Macaca fascicularis: one gene and its partners. The protein of the gene in region 1 purifies or fractionates together with the protein of each later gene. This does not show direct contact. Links are inferred from orthologs where the notes say so. Each region holds a gene or a part of one and is shown in the gene's direction. Other genes may lie near its edges. The genes, in order: IGF1R, PCNA, ARRB2 and ARRB1.

What was found.
Region 2: the proteins of IGF1R (region 1) and PCNA purify together in Homo sapiens (affinity purification with western blotting; 3 studies listed by BioGRID, with this or other methods). This does not show direct contact. The link is inferred for Macaca fascicularis from reciprocal best matches to the Homo sapiens genes IGF1R and PCNA.
Region 3: the proteins of IGF1R (region 1) and ARRB2 purify together in Homo sapiens (affinity purification with western blotting; 4 studies listed by BioGRID). This does not show direct contact. The link is inferred for Macaca fascicularis from reciprocal best matches to the Homo sapiens genes IGF1R and ARRB2.
Region 4: the proteins of IGF1R (region 1) and ARRB1 purify together in Homo sapiens (affinity purification with western blotting; 3 studies listed by BioGRID and IntAct, with this or other methods). This does not show direct contact. The link is inferred for Macaca fascicularis from reciprocal best matches to the Homo sapiens genes IGF1R and ARRB1.

The regions. Positions count from the first base shown.
Region 1 is NC_088381.1:83,518,190-83,522,569, forward strand, and holds the start of IGF1R (insulin-like growth factor 1 receptor), read left to right. Parts: upstream 1-1,530; 5' UTR 1,531-2,550; coding exon 2,551-2,644; intron 2,645-3,817; exon of another isoform or gene 3,818-4,055; intron 4,056-4,380. Other genes in the region: uncharacterized protein, read right to left, coding at 128-173, 262-956. UniProt on the Homo sapiens protein: Receptor tyrosine kinase which mediates actions of insulin-like growth factor 1 (IGF1). Binds IGF1 with high affinity and IGF2 and insulin (INS) with a lower affinity. The activated IGF1R is involved in cell growth and survival control.
Region 2 is NC_088384.1:82,160,730-82,165,063, forward strand, and holds the start of PCNA (proliferating cell nuclear antigen), read left to right. Parts: upstream 1-1,384; 5' UTR 1,385-1,544; coding exon 1,545-1,765; intron 1,766-2,477; coding exon 2,478-2,575; intron 2,576-2,666; coding exon 2,667-2,734; intron 2,735-4,000; coding exon 4,001-4,195; intron 4,196-4,334. UniProt on the Homo sapiens protein: Auxiliary protein of DNA polymerase delta and epsilon, is involved in the control of eukaryotic DNA replication by increasing the polymerase's processibility during elongation of the leading strand.
Region 3 is NC_088390.1:4,804,680-4,809,073, forward strand, and holds the start of ARRB2 (beta-arrestin-2), read left to right. Parts: upstream 1-1,470; 5' UTR 1,471-1,493; coding exon 1,494-1,627; intron 1,628-4,394. UniProt on the Homo sapiens protein: Functions in regulating agonist-mediated G-protein coupled receptor (GPCR) signaling by mediating both receptor desensitization and resensitization processes.
Region 4 is NC_088388.1:74,143,184-74,147,011, reverse strand, and holds part of ARRB1 (beta-arrestin-1), read left to right. Parts: intron 1-567; coding exon 568-627; intron 628-1,442; coding exon 1,443-1,510; intron 1,511-3,828. UniProt on the Homo sapiens protein: Functions in regulating agonist-mediated G-protein coupled receptor (GPCR) signaling by mediating both receptor desensitization and resensitization processes.

The DNA.
Region 1 (4,380 bases):
GACCACATTAAGGGCGACACATGGTCCAATTACTGTTTGTAAAAGTCCACGTATTTCAAATTCCTCTCTCCTGCCATTGCTGGGCTGTTTCCCTCTTTGAGGACCTGGTCTCCGCAGCATTTATTCATTAGATGGCAGTCCTAGGGAAGTCTCGCTTTGGGGAACCTCTCCTCCTGCACATTCAAGAAAACCACCGCGGAGAGTTAGGGTCGGTACTGGTTTCTAGTCACTTACGTAGCAAACGAAGCAAGAGGAACGTGCCCGGGAGGACTCAAGACAGGTGCGGTTGGGTTTTCGCAGTAGCCGCTGATCCCGAGTGCATGCCGCCTGTTCCCGGGTCGGGACCGCAGCCAAGGGAGGCTTCCCGGCCCCAGCCTCCACCCCCTTCTCGGGGCCCCGGACACGCCCCCCAGCTTCGGAGCCCCGCAGCGTGCACGCGCCCCGGCCGCTCCCCACAGCCGCCCACGTGGTGGAGCCCTGAGCCGCGCGAGGCCGCTGAGAGCGCTCGGGGCGGGCCGCTGGTCCGGGAGGCCCCGCCAGCGCGACCCAGCCGAGTCGGTCCCCAGCCCGGGCCCCCACATTTCCTCCCCCGGAGGGAGGGAGGCGACTCTCCGCGTGCTGCCCTCCCCGGCGCCCGCCGCGCCCTCTGGCGGCCGCCGCGGGGACGCGCCCTGGGCACGCGGGGCCGCCTGTCTGAGCCCCCCTTCCGGGGCGCGGGGCCCGACCGGGGGGCTGCGGGGTCCTGTCTCCTCGCGCCACTCCGGGTCGAGCCACGCGGGCCGCGCCCTTCCCCCTCCGCTCCCCGCAACTCCGGGCTCCCCGGTCTCAACGCCGCGGGTGCCCCAGCCTGGCGTGAAAGTGCCCAGCGTAGTAGCCTGGGGGGGTCTTCTTTTTCCCAGGTGCGCCCCTTCCGCCACGTTCGGGCTTTCCAGTACATAGCGAAAAAAATGCCGCATGCACGCACTTATTTATTTTGCAACAGCTGCAAGGAACAATGAAGCTTTTCAAGAACCAGGGAAACGCGCTTTCCAGCCGCGCTGTTGTTGTTTTCAATGAACCTCTCCCAGCACCGCACTCCCCGCCCACCCCTCCCCTCGCCTGCCCACCCCGCCCCTCGCCTGCCTACCCCTCCCCTTCCTAACCTTTCCCTGCCTACCCACCCCTGCCCCGCCGAGACCGGGTCGGCGGCGGGGGCATTGTTTTTGGAGTCGGGCGGGAGGGTAGGGCGCGTGCGGGGTGGCCGGCGCAGTGGTGCACTGGTGGGGGCGGGAGCGGGTGGGCACGCGCGCGTGTCTCTGTGCGCGCGCGGGAGTCGGCGGGGCGGGACATGGGGGCGGCGCTTGCAGTCTCGCGCCCCACGCCTGGGCTCCGCTCCGCACGTCTCGGGGATCCCGGGCTCCGGTTTTTGGCTCGTGCCGGCCTGGGCCGGGCCCTCGGCGCGCCGCTGCTGCGGCGGTGGCCGCTCGAGTGTGCGAGCGGGCGCGTGTGCGCGGACCCGGGCGAGCGCGCGCGCGCGAGCCCCCAGTGTGTGGCGGCGGCGGCGGCGGCGGCGCGGCGAGGCTGGGGCTCTTGTTTACCAGCATTAACTCCGCTGAGCGGAAAAAAAAAGGGAAAAAACCCGAGGAGGAGCGAGCGCACCAGGCGAACTCAAGAGAGGCGGGAGAGCGAGAGGGACGCCGCCAGCGAGCCTGCCCGCGGCCGGCGCTCGCAGACCCTCGGCCCCGCTCCCCGGACCCCCCCCGCGCCCTCCACGCCCCTCCCGCGCGGGGGCAGCTCCACGGCGCGCCTCGCCTCGGCTGTGACCTTCAGCGAGCCGGAGCCCCCGCGCAGAGCCGGCGGCGGCGGGCGGGGGCCGGGCGGGGGCAGCGCGGGGCGGGCGGCGGCGCAGAGCCGGGCGGCGCGGCGGGAGTGCTGAGCGCGGCGCGGCCGGCCCGCCGCTTTGTGTGTGTCCTGGATTTGGGAAGGAGCTCGCGGCGGCGGCGGCGCTGAGGGAGGAGGCGGCGGCGAGCGGAGCCCGGAGGAGGAGGAGGAGGGGGAGCCGCTCATTCATTTGACTCCGGGTTTCTGCCCCTCGCCGGCCTCGCCTGCGACCCGGACTTGGGGCGATCTTGCGAACTGCGTCGCGCCCTCCCGCGGCGGAGGCTCGGGCGTCCGGCCACCTCCCGCGCGGCAAGGGCCGGGCTTGTTTTTCCTCGCCGAGGCAGATTTGGGCTTTGCCCCCTTTCTTTGCAGTTTTCCCCCTTTCCTGCCTCTCCGGGTTTGAAAATGGAGGCCGACGACGCCGACAGCCCGCCCCGGCGCGCCTCGAGTTGCCGACTCCGCCGAGCCCTGGGCCGCTGCTGCCGGCGCTGAGGGGCCGCCCCGTCCGCGCACCCGGAGGGCCCCGGCGGCACCGCCTTCGGAGTATTGTTTCCTTCGTCCTTGTTTTTGGAGGGGGAGCGAAGACTGAGTTTGAGACTTGTTTCCTTTCCTTTCTTTTTTTTTCTTTTTCTTTTCTTTTCTTTTTTTTTTTTTTTTTGAGAAAGGGGAATTTCGTCCCAAATAAAAGGAATGAAGTCTGGCTCTGGAGAAGGGTCCCCGACCTCGCTGTGGGGGCTCCTGTTTCTCTCCGCCGCGCTCTCGCTCTGGCCGACGAGTGGAGAAAGTGAGTATGTGCCCGCCGCCCGCGGCCACTGCGGGAACTTTTCCTTCGAGGGGCTGCGCCCTGTTTGCGAAACCCGAGTTGCCACCGTCGCAGCTGTCGGGCCCCCGGGCTCGGGAGCGGCGGGGCGGGGCGCGGGGTGGCTCTGCCGGGAGGGAGGCTGCGGCGGACCTGGGATCCGGGCTCGTTCGTCTGGAGCCCAGCGGGCCCTGGCTCCGCACATCCCCCGTGCTGGAAGGGCCTGAGGGGCTTTCTCTCTAGTCGTGCCGACAGTCCTGTCCCCCGGCTAGGCTCGAGGACTCGGTAGGGAAGTTGGTGCCGGGGCGGGCACCAAGGGTTCCCAGGCCCCGCGACCCGCACCTCGCCCCTCCGGAGCGCACGAGCCTCTCCGCACATAGCGCTGATCCCATGCGGCGCGAAGGCAGCGGGGACTGCACCCTGGGCCGCACCGCGTCTCCGCTGCTGGGGCTGATCCGGCAGTGGGGAGCAGGCATCCGCCCGGCCCGCGGGGTGCGAGTTGCCCTTGAGGGGGGAGGTGCCCTGCGGAGAGGCCCCGAAGCCCCAGGACACGTCTCCAAGCGCCTGGCGCTGCCTCCCGTCGCCCAACATGCATTTCCCCTCGGGCTCCTAGGGTTCCTGGCCTTGCCCGTTACTTTGGCCCGCTCCTCGTTGGGTTACCTGCCCCTGGCGTCCCGGGGCTGGGCGGTGGGGTGAGGGGAAGCGCTCTCTGGGCAGCTCCCCGGGGAGTGCGAGGCCGGGAGTCTTCCTCAGCTTGTCTTTTACGGGGAGCGCCACTGGGCCCCCAGTTCAGAGGGCTCTGGGATGGCCTCTCAGTTTCTCCCGGGCAGGGGCATGGAGGGGTGCTAGGGCCGCATCCGAATGTGCGTTGGTGGGTGTGTGGTCGGAGCCGACGTGCATTCCGACACACGTGCTCGCAGCGCGGGGTGTAGTCGCCGCCTCACGGGGACACCGAGACGCCCGTCCCTGGCGAGAGGTGTCCTACGCTGTGGGTTTCAGGAGCGCCAGGGTCTGCGGCGGTGGGGGAAGGGTGTTGTGTTTTGCGAGCGCGGAGCCCTGGCCTTGGTTTTGTTGTGGCCGGCGTCGTGTCGCCCTCCCTTCTGCCGCCGCGCACTTCCTTTGTACGCAGTTAATAAGCAGTATCGTTCCATACTCGCTATGTTTTGCAACCTGATAGCTTTTGTTTTGGTGGTGTCGGGTAGGGGTAGGTAGGGAAGCGCGGGGATGCAGGGAGTGGGAACTCCCCCCAGTGTGTACAGCCACAGGAGGTGGGGGGTTTATTCTCAAAAAATTGAAAGTGTGGCTTACTGGTACATTCAAGATAGTGGGGTAATTTGAACACGATTAAAAGTTTAAATGTCGCAGAACTGGGATCGGGAACGGTGAGGGCGTGTTGGTGAGTAATGGTAGCCGAGGGTATGCAGGTGGTGCCGATTAACTTCGAAAAAAATCACGACTGAGCCTTCAAGAGTGAGGGGGAGAAGTAGGAGGCAGCGGAGGTTGTCTGGCCCCATCACTGGGGCAATTCAGAAAGGCTGTTTCTATAAACAAATCCTTAAACGTCTCTTAAGAAATGAGTGCGCGACAGAACGAGAGCAGATCGTGGTTCGCGTGTTTACTGCCGAGTGGGACGCGGACTGGGGCCGGACCTTGCACAGATCTGGGCTCTCATGCTCTTTGTTTTCTAAACTTTAAGCGGACTCGATTGGGCGAAAGCCTTC
Region 2 (4,334 bases), on another chromosome or scaffold:
TTCAGTGAGCCGAGATAGTGCCACTGCAGTCCAGCCGGGGCAACAGAGCAAGACTCCGTCTCAAAAAAAAAAAAATTGAATTTTTGACACAGATGAGCAATGATTAAAAAATGAGATTGCTAATATCTGTAGTTAGGAAAATAAAGATAAATGAGCATGTTCATACACAGTCTTGGCTAGAATGTAAATTGCAAACTTTTAGAGATTTAGTAACATTTATCAAAAATTTAGCCGGGCATGGTGGCACATGCCTGTAATCCCAGCACTTTGGGAGGCTGAGGCGGGTGATCACCTGAGGTCGGGAGTTTGAGACCAGCCTGGCCAACATGGTGAAACCCCGTCTCTACTAAAAAAAAAAAAAAAAAAAAAAAAAAAAAAATTAGTCGGGCGCGGTGGTAGGCGCCTGTAATCCCAGCTACTTGGGAGGCTGAGGCAGGAGAATCATTTGAACCTGGGAGGCGGAGGTTGCAGTGAGCCGAGATCGCGCCACTGCACTCCAGCCTGAATGACAGAGCAGGACTCCATCTCAAAAAAAAAGAAAGAAAGAAAAGAAAAGAAAAAAAATTAAATGTGTACGCTCTTTGACTCAGCTGTATTACTTCAAGGAGTTGATAGCACCAAAATTGCCTAAGTGCTCAAAGGTGTTTGTAATTAACAGGAGATTGATAAGTTACATACATGTGATGCTATCTTTTAAAGAGGTACTGATATAAAAAAGATGTACGTGGCATAAAATTAAATGTACTTTATTAAGTACTTTTTCGAAGTGTTTACGGAATGAGTGCATTTTGAAAAAAAAAAGTGTATTCGAACTTTCAAAAAAGCTTTAAAAGCTTTATACAAGGAACGATTGAGTGATTATAAGAGCTGGCAGTGGAATGTTAAGAGGTGAGAGGGAGCTAAGTTTAACATAACTCTTTATGGTGTGACACTTAGGAGCGCATCACTTCTGTAATTGAAAAATAAAGTGCATATTTGCAGCAGCTGTACTCTTCAGGCTACAAGGAGGCTTTTCCTCCCGGTAGGCTGGATTTGCTTTTCACTTTCACTTTCGTGGCTGGAAACTTTCTACCCACGGAGCTGGAGGCTGAGGAGGCACCATAAAGCTGGGGCTTGACGAACCGGGGCCTGGGCCGGATCCCCACATATGCCCGGACTTGTTCAGTGGTCAGGTTCAGGAGTCAGGCGAAGAGGCGGGGAGACCTGCGGGACGCTGCCCCGCCCTGCACCCGCTTCCTCCAATGTATGTCCTAGGGGGCGGGCCTCGCGGGGAGCATCGGCACGATTGGCCCTAAATTCTAACCCGCCCAGGCTGTGGGCCGGGCAGCGTGGTGACGTCGCAACGCGGCGCAGGGTAAGAGCGCGCGCTGGCGGACGCGGCGGCATTAAACGGTTGCAGGCGTAGCAGACTGGTAGTTCTGTTTCTAGGTCTCAGCTTCTCGTCACGACGTTCGCCCGCTCGCTCTGAGGCTCCTGAAGCGGAAACCGGCTAGACTTTCCTCCTTCCCGCCTGCCTGTAGCCGCGTTGCTGCCACTCCGCCACCATGTTCGAGGCGCGCCTGGTCCAGGGCTCCATCCTGAAGAAGGTGTTGGAGGCCCTCAAGGACCTCATCAACGAGGCCTGCTGGGATATTAGCTCCAGCGGCGTAAATCTGCAGAGCATGGACTCGTCCCACGTCTCCTTGGTGCAGCTCACCCTGCGGTCTGAGGGCTTCGACACCTACCGCTGCGACCGCAACCTGGCTATGGGCGTGAACCTCACCAGGTGAGCCTCGCGGCGCCGAGAAACCGGCCCCGGCCCACCCCCACCTCCGGGGTTTGGCGGGATCGCTTCCGAGCCGAGCCCTCATTGGCTGGCGTGGACCATCCGCACCTTCTCATTGGCCTGCCATGCAGGGGGGTGGGGCCCAGCTGAGCGCGCGGTTCGGAAAAGCCCGCGCTGGCTGCTGCGCGAACCTGCTTTTTCGCGCCAAAGTCACAAAGCGGGTGGTGGCGGGAAAATGACTGGTTTTTCTGCAGTGCCAGGAACACTGCTCCAGAGCTTTTGCTCACTAAATCCTGTTGGCCTTGAATGGACGCTTTAGTTGTGGCTTTTTTGTTTCCGAGACGGTCTCGATGTGTTGGCCCGGGCTGGTCTCCAACTTCTGGGCTCAGGCGATCCTCCCGGCTCAGTCGCGATTGACTTTAAATGCTTTATAATGTGCCCTTGCGAGAAAAGTGTCAGCCTGTCATCCTACTTAGTGGCAGGAGATTGTTTCTATCCAGAAGGGAAACTGCTGGTGGTATTTTAGTATAAATACTGCCAGATGCATCCCAAAATGTCTGCATTAATATTCGCATCCTCCAGCAGTGCAATTACCCTCCACCAGTTCTGAGACGGCCTATGGGTGAGAGTGGTAACCCCTTCTAACTGCATTAGAAATACAGACCTTCAGTAGATGGTGTTGATTTTAAACCATGTGTCTCCTGTCTTCTAGTATGTCCAAAATACTAAAATGCGCCGGCAATGAAGATATCATTACACTAAGGGCTGAAGATAATGCGGATACCTTGGCGCTAGTATTTGAAGCACCCAGTAAGTCGTACCTTTTTACTGAGTTATGAAGCTACAGAAGATCGAAACTCTGTGCCAGTGTTTCTCAACAGCATTTGCTTTTTTTTGGTAGACCAGGAGAAAGTTTCAGACTATGAAATGAAGTTGATGGATTTGGATGTTGAACAACTTGGAATTCCAGTGAGTATCAGTTTCTGATTGTAGCGACTGCTGTACACAGGCATGATAGTTATGTCATAGAATGTTGTTTATTTTTACAGACAGGGTCTTCCTCTTTTCCCCAGGCTGGAGTGCAGTGGTGCCATATAGCTCACTGTAACCTGGGACTCCTGGGCTCAAGCAATCCACTTAGTCTCCTAAGTGGCTAGGAAGGACTACAGATCTGTCCCACCACGCCTGGCTAATTTTTTTATTTTTGTGTGTGGGTGTGGGGGCAGTCTTGCCCAGGCTGGTCTGGAACTCCTGGCCTCAATGATCCTCCTCCGTCAAGATAAGTTAATATAATTTAAGCCTACTTCATAACAGAACTTTTTCTAGAAACATATCTACTGGTGCATGTTTTAAAGAGATTTTAGTATTTGGATAGTTGTTTACCACAAGTCTAAAACTCACTGGTTAAATTTATTGTTTACTGCCAGTTGTCTATTTGCATTAATTTCCATGAACCTCTTTTAAAATTTGCTTCCTTCTAGGATGGTTGGTTTTGTTTTGTTTTGTTTTGTTTTTGAGGCGGAGTATCGCTCTGTCGCCCAGGCTGGAGTGCTGTGGCCAGATCTCAGCTCACTGCAAGCTCCGCCACCCAGGTTTACGCCATTCTCCTGCCTCAGCTTCCCGAGTAGCTGGGACTACAGGCGCCCACCACCTCGCCCGGCTAGTTTTTTTTTTTTTTTTTTTTTTTGTATTTTTTAGTAGAGACGGGGTTTCACCAGGTTAGCCAGGATGGTCTCGATCTCCTGACCTTGTGATCCGCCTGTCTCGGCCTTCCAAAGTGCTGGGATTACAGGCTTGAGCCACCGCGCCCGGCCCGATGCTTGGTTTTTATTAAGTGGGTTTGAAAGCTATCTTAGAAGAAATGTATCCAGGTTAGGTTTATAAACACCAAAGGAGAGAAGAAATGTTGGAATGTTGAAAATGCCTAATATCATATTCTCTCGTTTTCTTTTAGAAAATAGTTAGACCTGCTTGCGCCGTCATCATTTCTGTGGCATACTCTAATGTTCTCTTACTTTATCCCTGGAGGATGAGGAGGAGGAGGCGCTTGTTCCCTGGGCAGTGCATTTAATAGCCATTTATTTTTTTTGAGTGGAGTTTGTTAAGAAATTACACGAGTCAGTAATCAGAAAATCTTGATTCTGAGTTGTTTAGATGTTGCCTTTTAAGAAAGTGAGGGTGCCAAATCATTAAATTTCTAACAATTAACTTTTGGAAAATTTTTGTTCTTAATAGGAACAAGAGTACAGCTGTGTAGTAAAGATGCCTTCTGGTGAATTTGCACGTATATGCCGAGATCTCAGCCATATTGGAGATGCTGTTGTAATTTCCTGTGCAAAAGACGGCGTGAAATTTTCTGCAAGTGGAGAACTTGGAAATGGAAACATTAAATTGTCACAGACAAGTAATGTCGATAAAGAGGAGGAAGCTGTAAGTAGTTTTTAAGTAAAAAAAATAGTTTGAAGAGAATTGTAATACTGCTTATTAGGTTAATTGCTAAAATTAAAAGTAGACAGAATTGGATCCCAAGTAATTTCTGAAAATTGAGATACTGTTGAAATCTGCAACT
Region 3 (4,394 bases), on another chromosome or scaffold:
TTCATCTGCTATACAAAATCCTCCACAACCTGTTCCAGGCTTCCCCACCAACACCACACAACAGGATGTGCCTTGTCTTTCTCTTTGGAATGCCCTGTCTTAACTTCTGCCCGGCCCGGCACGGTGGCTCACGCCTGTAATCCCAACACTTTGGGAGGCTGAGGCGGGTGGAACACGAGGTCAGGCATTTGAGACCAGCAAGGCCAACGTGATGAAACCTTGTCTCTATTAAAAATATGAAAAGTAGCTAGGCATTGTGGCAGGCGCCTGTAATCCCAGCTACTCGGGAGGCTGAGCAGAGAAGTGCTTGAACCTGGGAGGCGGAGGTTGCAGTGAGCCGAGATCGCGCCACTGCACTCCAGCCGGGGCAACAGAGCGAGACTCTATCTCAAAAAAAAGAAAACGAAAAAAAACTTCTGCACATCCTTCAGAAAGACTGTCCTCATATGTTCTCCGCTCCACCCCCGCCCGGGCCGAGCGCTGTTAGTGGCTGTGTCTTCTGACTCAGACCTCTGTAATAGCATTCCTGGGTAATACCTGTGTATGTGTCTCCTCAACTATTCTAGGAAGTCAGGGGCCATGGTAATTCATATGTGTCCCCATCGATTGGCATAGTAAATAGCATAAAATAGGCACGGATGGGTGGGTCGATAGATGGACCGATGGGTGCGAGCGAGTGAGTGAGTGGATGTTAGCTGGGATGGGTGGGTGAAGGAGATGGAGAGTCAGAGACATTGGAAAAGGGAACCCTGCGAAAATCAAATGTAGACACCAGGAGGAGCTGACACGCTGCGGTGAAGAAGCGGGAGGGCTGGCCACAGAAGGCGGTACGCTCCGCGTGGAGCAGGTGAGCTGCGCGCACTGAAGCAAGTATCACGCAATTGAACTGCTCACCCACGTGTTCCCCCCCACCATCCTCCTTCCCAGACGGCGCTTCAGCTCATTCCACCGCCCCCAACAGCCCGGTCGCCCCCACCGCCACTGAGAAAGCAAACAAAGGGGAGGAGACCCCTAAAGGTTCTGGATGCCGAGGGCCAATCGAAAGACTTAGATCCCCTGGAAGGCGGGAGCCTTGGTTTAGGGGGGCCCAATCGGTTTCAAGGGGTTGCGGCGGGGCGGGGAGATGGGCGGGAAGAGCGGGAGCGGGCCCCGCGCGCGGGGGAGGGCTCCCCGGCTGGGACGGAACGCGAAGGGTTGGGGGCGGAGCCAATGGCCCTGTGTGTCTGCTAGGAGAGGGCGGGCAGCGCCGCGGCGCGCGCGATCCGGCTGACGCATCTGGCCCCGGTTCCCCCAGACCAGAGCCGGGCCGGGAGGGAGGGGGAAGAGGCGAGAGCGCGGAGGGCGCGCGTGCGCATTGGCGCGGGGAGGAGCAGGGATCTTGGCAGCGGGCGAGGAGGCTGCGAGCGAGCCGCGAACCGAGCGGGCGGCGGGCGCGCGCACCATGGGGGAGAAACCCGGGACCAGGTAAGGGAGGTGGGGCCACGCGGCGGGGCATGGGCGGCGGCTCGGGGCGGGGGCTGGGACGGTCCCAGACGAGGACGCCGCGGAGAGGATCTGGGGGCCGGACGCCTGGGTCCCTAGGGACAGCCATCCGGGGCCGCACGCGCAGGTCCTCGAGGATAATGAGGTTGGGGGGAAATGCCCGGGCCCCTGCAGAAAGCGAGGCCGGAGGGGGATCAGAAAAACCGGTGTCGGGGTTCTCTCAGGGATGTGGGGCCAGACTACTGGGCTCTCCCGTGCCCAGGAGTCTGGGCAGGCTGCGATGCAGGGACGGAGGGAGGAGCAGGTGGCTGGCCCCGAGGGGTCGTGTACGGGGAGGCTGGATGCTGGGAGGGGGATCCCCTCCAGACTCGTGCCAAGCCAATGCAAAGCCTCCTGTCCAATATCCCCCAGGTAGTCGCGCTGCCCACACCTGTCCCGAGGGCCGGGTGGCTCCTCATCCAAACTTCTACCTTCCCCTGGGTTGCCAGGAGCAACAACAGCTTCATCTTGGGAGAGCCTGACCCTTCCTGAAACTAGATCGGATCCCTCTCCCTGGGGGTGGGGGAGGCAGTATTCACGCTGGGCGCGCGTCCACTCCCCGGATGTTTTCTGTGCAATCGAGGCTCTTTCCTTCCACTGATACCCCGAGTTCTCTTTTTTGGTCTCTAGCAAAATCCACTTCCTGTTGTGACTCAACACCCCCAAGGGGTAAGGGGTGAATGCCTGAGTCCCAGGGGAGCAGGAGCAAAAGACAGAAAGGTTGGGGCTGTAGGCCTCAACCCAGAGGGGATCGGGAATAGGGAATTGGTCCTGAGCTCTGGCTTGCTCTGCAAAGCATCATATCGACCCCACTTCCAACCTATAGAGTAGGAGAACCCAGGTTTCTGAGCGTCAAGTAGATGAGTATCAGAAAGAGATCATCAGAGAGATGATCGGTGTCCTGGATTAGGGTTTAAACATCCCAGAGAAAGGGGAAGTTGCTGCCTTGTGGGAGGCCCCTGATTTCCGTTATGTGGTTCAAGGAGTGGGACAGATGGACCAAAGGGGACTGCTGACTTGACCCAATTTCCCTCACCTCCATCAAATTCTGGGCCACAGGAAATGGAGAGAATAGCAGGAAGTGTGAAAGGACATCTGCTTCAGCTACCCCTGCCCCCATTGGGCACCTCCCTGGTCATCCCCACACTCTGCCTCCTTGGCCAGCCTAGTATCTGCACGCTGCTCCTCCTCAGCCTGGCAGGAGGTGGCTGGGTTAGGATCCAAAGGGCAGGTGCCTTGCAGCTGCTCCAGGGCAGTTGCCCCAGAGCCACACTGCAGTTGGCCCACTGACTGTGGCTGTCACAGCCCTGTGCCAGGGCTCCTAATGGGAGGACACCCTGGGACAAAGAGGAAAACCAGAAGCAAAGGGGAGGGAGAGCCTGGATGATGCCACAGCACTCAGCCCCCAAGTTGGGACAAAAGATAGGATGTTTATTCTAGCTGCCACCGTATCGATGTTTATTCTCTTTTATTGGTTAGGAATACCTGGGAGCCTCCATACCCTTTACCTTATAATCTTTGGACAGCTTGGCTTTCTGGGAAGAAGGGACAAGTGAAGTTGTAGCAGAAACTGGGCCTATGGTAGAAACCATTTAGGGCCAAAGGCCAGAGTCATTGCTCTCCTATATGCTCCAGCTGTCAGAGCTGTAGACCAGATGGAAAGATGGTTAAGTCTTACCCAGATACTGCGGCAACCTGCCCATTGGGGTCCTCTGGGAATGGGGTGGTAGAGTTGGAGGAGGGATGGGCTAGTTGGCAGGATTTCACGTTCTGCTGTCTATCTGAGGATCCTTTCCAGGGATCACTGCTGAGGCAGAGTGGATTGGAAGGAGTAAGGTGATGCTTCAAAGAATAGGCTCACAATTGGCCAGATCACTGGGATTGCCAAACACTTCCTTACCCTCCCAGCAGTGGGTGGAGTCCAGGCTTAAATTGTTTCAGCAACTGGAAAGCGAATACCCTTCAATTGAACAAACTATTGATGCCAGCTACAGAGACGGATAGTGTAATATTGATTGAGAGGATGGACTCGGAGCCAGACCGCCTTGGTTTCTATTAATTCCCACCATTTACTCTCTCTGTGACCTTAAAACACTTAACCTCTCTCTGCCTCAGTTTCCTCACCTGGAAAATAGAGACATTAGGACCTCCATCACTGGGTAGTTTTATTTTATTTTATTTTTTATTTATTTATTTATTTGAAATGGAGTCTTGCTCTGTCACCCAGGCTGGAGTGCAGTGACGCAATCTTGGCTCACTGCAACCTAAGGCCGGGCGTGGTGGCTCACGCCTGTAATCCCAGCACTTTGGGAGGCTGAGGCGGGTGCATCACCTGAGGTCAGGAGTTGGAGATCAGCCTGGCCAACTTGGGGAAACCTTGTCTCTACTAAAAAACTACAAAATACAGGCCAGACGCCGTGGCTCAAGCCCGTAATCCCAGCCCTTTGGGAGGCTGAGGCGGGCGGATCACTTGAGGTCAGGAGTTCGAGATCAGCCTGGCCAACATAGGGAAACCCCATCTATACTAAAAATATAAAAATTAGCAGCCAGGCGCAGTGGCTCACACCTGTAATCCCAGCACTTTGGGAGGCCAAGACTGGCGGATCACGAGGTCAGGAGATGAAGACCGTCCTGGCTAACACAGTGAAACCCCGTCTCTACTAAAAATACAAAAAATTAGCCGGGCGTGGTGGTGGGCACCTGTAGTCCTAGCTACTTGGGAGGCTGAGGCAGGAGAATGGCATGAACCTGGGAGGCAGAGGTTGCAGTGAGCCAAAATTGCGCCACTGCACTCCAGCCTGGGCAACAGAGCAAGACTCCATCTCAAAAAAATAAAAAATTATCCAGACATGATGGCAGGCACCTCTAATCCC
Region 4 (3,828 bases), on another chromosome or scaffold:
GCAGGGCTGGCTCCTCTGGAGGCCCTCAGGGAGCGTCCACCTTTTCCAGTTTCGCTTTCCTTGGATCCTGGTGCCTTCCTCCATCGTCAAAGCCAGCAGTGGCTGTTGAGTCTTTTGCACATCCCATCACTCTGGCTCGTACATTTCTGCCTCCTGCTTCTACTTCTAAGGACTCTTATAATGATATCAGGCCCACCAAAATCATCCAGGATACTGTCCCCATCTCAAGGCCTTAATTGGATCTGCAAAGTCACTTTTGTCGTTAAGGTCCCAGGTTTGGGGGATCAGGGTGTGGACATCTTTGGGGGACCATTATTCTGCCAACTACAGTAGACATCATAGAAAGATCTATTTAAACCATTGCTGTGAGAACTGGGCTAGGCCAAACTCTTTAGATAAAGAAAACTCAGACACTTGCGGGGCATGGGTTGGCATGGTCTGATGGGGTAGACATGGCCTGTCCCCTGGGGCCCTTGGTCTGATAGGTGTATGGGCGTGTCTGGGCTGCAAGACATGAGACAGGACAGTGGTGGATGTGATAGATGGCTCGTTCTGTCTTCTTGACAGATCCCTCCAAACCTTCCATGCTCTGTGACACTGCAGCCGGGGCCCGAAGACACAGGGAAGGTAGGTTACCCCAAGGGGACCATCTCTCTGGCTCCAGGACTCTCAGGTCCCCAGGTCCCTGGCTTTCTCCCTGGGAGGTGCTGGACACACAGAACCACTCTCCCTGTTGAACAGTGTTAGGCTAAGCTGGTCCCACCTTGGACAACCAGTCTCTCTTTAGACAGGGCAGCAGGTATGGGGTCAGCCTCACTCTCCCATTAAGTGATGGATCCAGAGGCCCTCCTGAGTGGCGTTGGTTGCAACAGGACCAAAGTGTTCTGAGGACCTACACCTGGCCTCACGTAACCCCTGGCAACCTTGAATCAAGGTGTGATCATCCCCATGTCACAGATGGGGAAACTGAGGCTTGGATAGAAGTGACACCACTAGCTGCAGATCTTTGAGCCCAGCTTCCTCATCTGCAAGATGGAGATGACAGCACGTGCCTCCTTGTCTTATTAGAGGGATACCGGAGAAGCCACCCAGGGCCAGGTCTGCACACAGTAGTAGTAGGTGCCCCCAGTCCGCTCAGGTACCTGTTGCTATTTCTGGGCAGCTGCCTGGATGAGGATGGCCACCCAGACTGAGGCAGGAGTCCAAAGAGCAGAGCCCTGTTTGGATGATTTGGGATGTCCCATGTCAGATGGAGGAGGCAGCACAGCACTGGGGCTGAGCACAAGGGCGTTCCCCTGCTTCTTCCAGACCGAGGAGGGCTGGGCTGTGGGAGCTTGGTGTTCCTGTCCAGTGTCCTCGCTTGTAAAATGAGAGGTAGGCTGGCTGTGTACTGGGGACCCTGCTTCTCCAAGGCCCTGTGGTCAGTGACCCCTTCCCCACAGGCTTGCGGTGTGGACTATGAAGTCAAAGCCTTCTGTGCGGAGAATTTGGAGGAGAAGATCCACAAGCGGTGAGTAGGATGCCAGGGTGTGGGCTGCCTGCTGGGTGAGGGAGGGAGACAGGATGGGCAAAGTCCAAGAGGAGATAAGTAACAATACCTGGAAGTGTGTGAGGAGGGGCGCACATTCCAGCCTTGGAAGGGCACTCTGGAAGCTGGGAGGTCACGGAGGGCTTCCTGGGGGAGGTGGCTTTGACTGCCCAGGTTCAGGCTGCCGCATCTTCTCCTTCGCACCGTTGTGGAAGCTTCCTCCCTCATCTCCCTGCCTCTCATTTCATCCCCTCCAGACTGCATGTCTTTTTAATTTGTTTTGGAAAAATCCTAAATTCAGATTGTGTTAAACCGTGAGCAGGCTGTTTCCTGACCATCCCCATTTTCCAGTTTTCCTCTTGGGAGGAGTTCAGCAGGGGTTGAGTGTGTGTCAATGGCAGCTTCTAAGTGAGGAGGAAGTGGAGATAGTGAACCCATCCAGGGCAGAGTGACAGGGAGCTCGGCCCACATCCGAGAGGGGAAGCATTCTCCAGAGAAGCACAGCCTGGGCAGACAGAGAGCCCAGGCTGGCAGCCAGAAACAGCTGGCCCGGATGTCTCAGGCCTGCCCCTCCTGGGTCAGGCTGTGCTCTGCCTGCCTCCTGGAAGAGCTGGTGGGCCCTCAACGCTGATGTTCCTGCATCCAGAGGCACTGTTCCCAGAGGAGGTTGGCTGAGGGCACAGCAGCCTTTTTAGGGCATGGGCTGAGTTTGCCACCTGGTGGCTATAGGGTGTATTGCATACATTTGCATCTGCAGCCCTGCCTGTGTGTGGGGAGATGGGACTTTTCTCCCTTGCTTCTCTGTCTCCCTTTTCCTCTTAAGACCTGAGACAAGGGAAAAGGAAGGGTGCTGTGGGATGTGGGAGGAGGCTTAGCAAGCACAAGAAAGAGGAGGTGACATTGAGAGCCACCCCTCTCACCCTACCACCAATGGGACATTTAAAATCCACACCAAGGAGTTACTAATAATAATGATATAGAAGCTATCATTTATCAAGGGCTGATTAGGTGTCAGGCACCATTCACAGTGCTGGGCTGTACGAACTAATTTAATCCTCATAGCAGCTCTAAGAATTAGGTCCTGGCTAGGCGCGGTGGCTCACGCCTGTAATCCCAGAGCTTTGGGAGGCCAAGGCGGGCAGATCACTTGAGGCCAGGAGTTCCAGACCAGCCTGGCCAACATGGTGAAACCCCATCTCTACTGAAAATACAAAAATTAGGCAGGTGTGGTGGCACATGCCTGTAATCCCAGTTGCTCGGAAGACTGAGGCAGGAGAATTGCTTGAACCTGGAAGGCAGAGGTTGTAGTGAGCTGAGATCGCGCCACTGCACTCCAGCTCGGGCAACAGAGTGAGACTCCACCTCAAAATAAATAAATAAATAAAATTTAAAAAGCAAAAAAAGAGATAGGTCCTTCTATCATCACCCTTTACAGATGAGGGAATGGAGGCAGAGAGGTTAATGTACCCAAGGCCACATAGTTAGCAAGAGGAGAGCTGGGAGTTTGACCCTGGCTCCTCCATTCCAGGCAATGGAAGCAGCTTATCTGAGCAATGGAGATGCAGCATTCCCAGCATGCCTCAGAGACGGCCTCACTGAGTCTCCCTCCCTCACCAGATCCTCATTTGCTCCCTGATCCCCTGTAACCTTCGTGGAGCCAGTCTCATCCATGGCCCTTCTCCCCTCCCTGGGCTTGTCCCCTTCACTGGCTTGCATCCCCCTGACTGAATCCACACCTCCTCCCTGAACCCCGACGCCTCCCCAAACCCCATTTCTTCTTGGGACCCCTGTCCCCTCTGCGTAGTTTTACATAATAGATATCTGGCATGTGTTTATTATATGGCACGCACAGTTATAGGTGCTGAGAGTACAGTTGTGAACACCTTAGACACAAATTTCTGTCCTTAAAGAGCTTACACAAATAGTGTCCTGTGTCACCAAAAGAGATGACAGAGGGACACTATTTGTGTAAGGTGACATAGGGAGGCGGGAAGTGACATTGTTACCTATTTGGTGACATAGGGAAGCAGGAGGTGAAAATGTAGTCCCTGTTTCAGCCTCCTGCTGGGTACCAGGACCCAAATGAAGTGCGGCCACGGGGCACTTCTGGGATAGAACAGGGGAGGATGGAATGGAGCCAGATAGTGACAGACCCCTATGCTGATCTCTGCAGTTTGGCTGGATTCTAAGGCGTTGAAGAGCCATGCCAGTCTCTTGAGCAGGAGAATGATGTGAGGCTTGCAAGGAGAGGGGATGAAGGCAGGTGACCCTGGTCCTCTTTCACTCCATCCATCCCCATT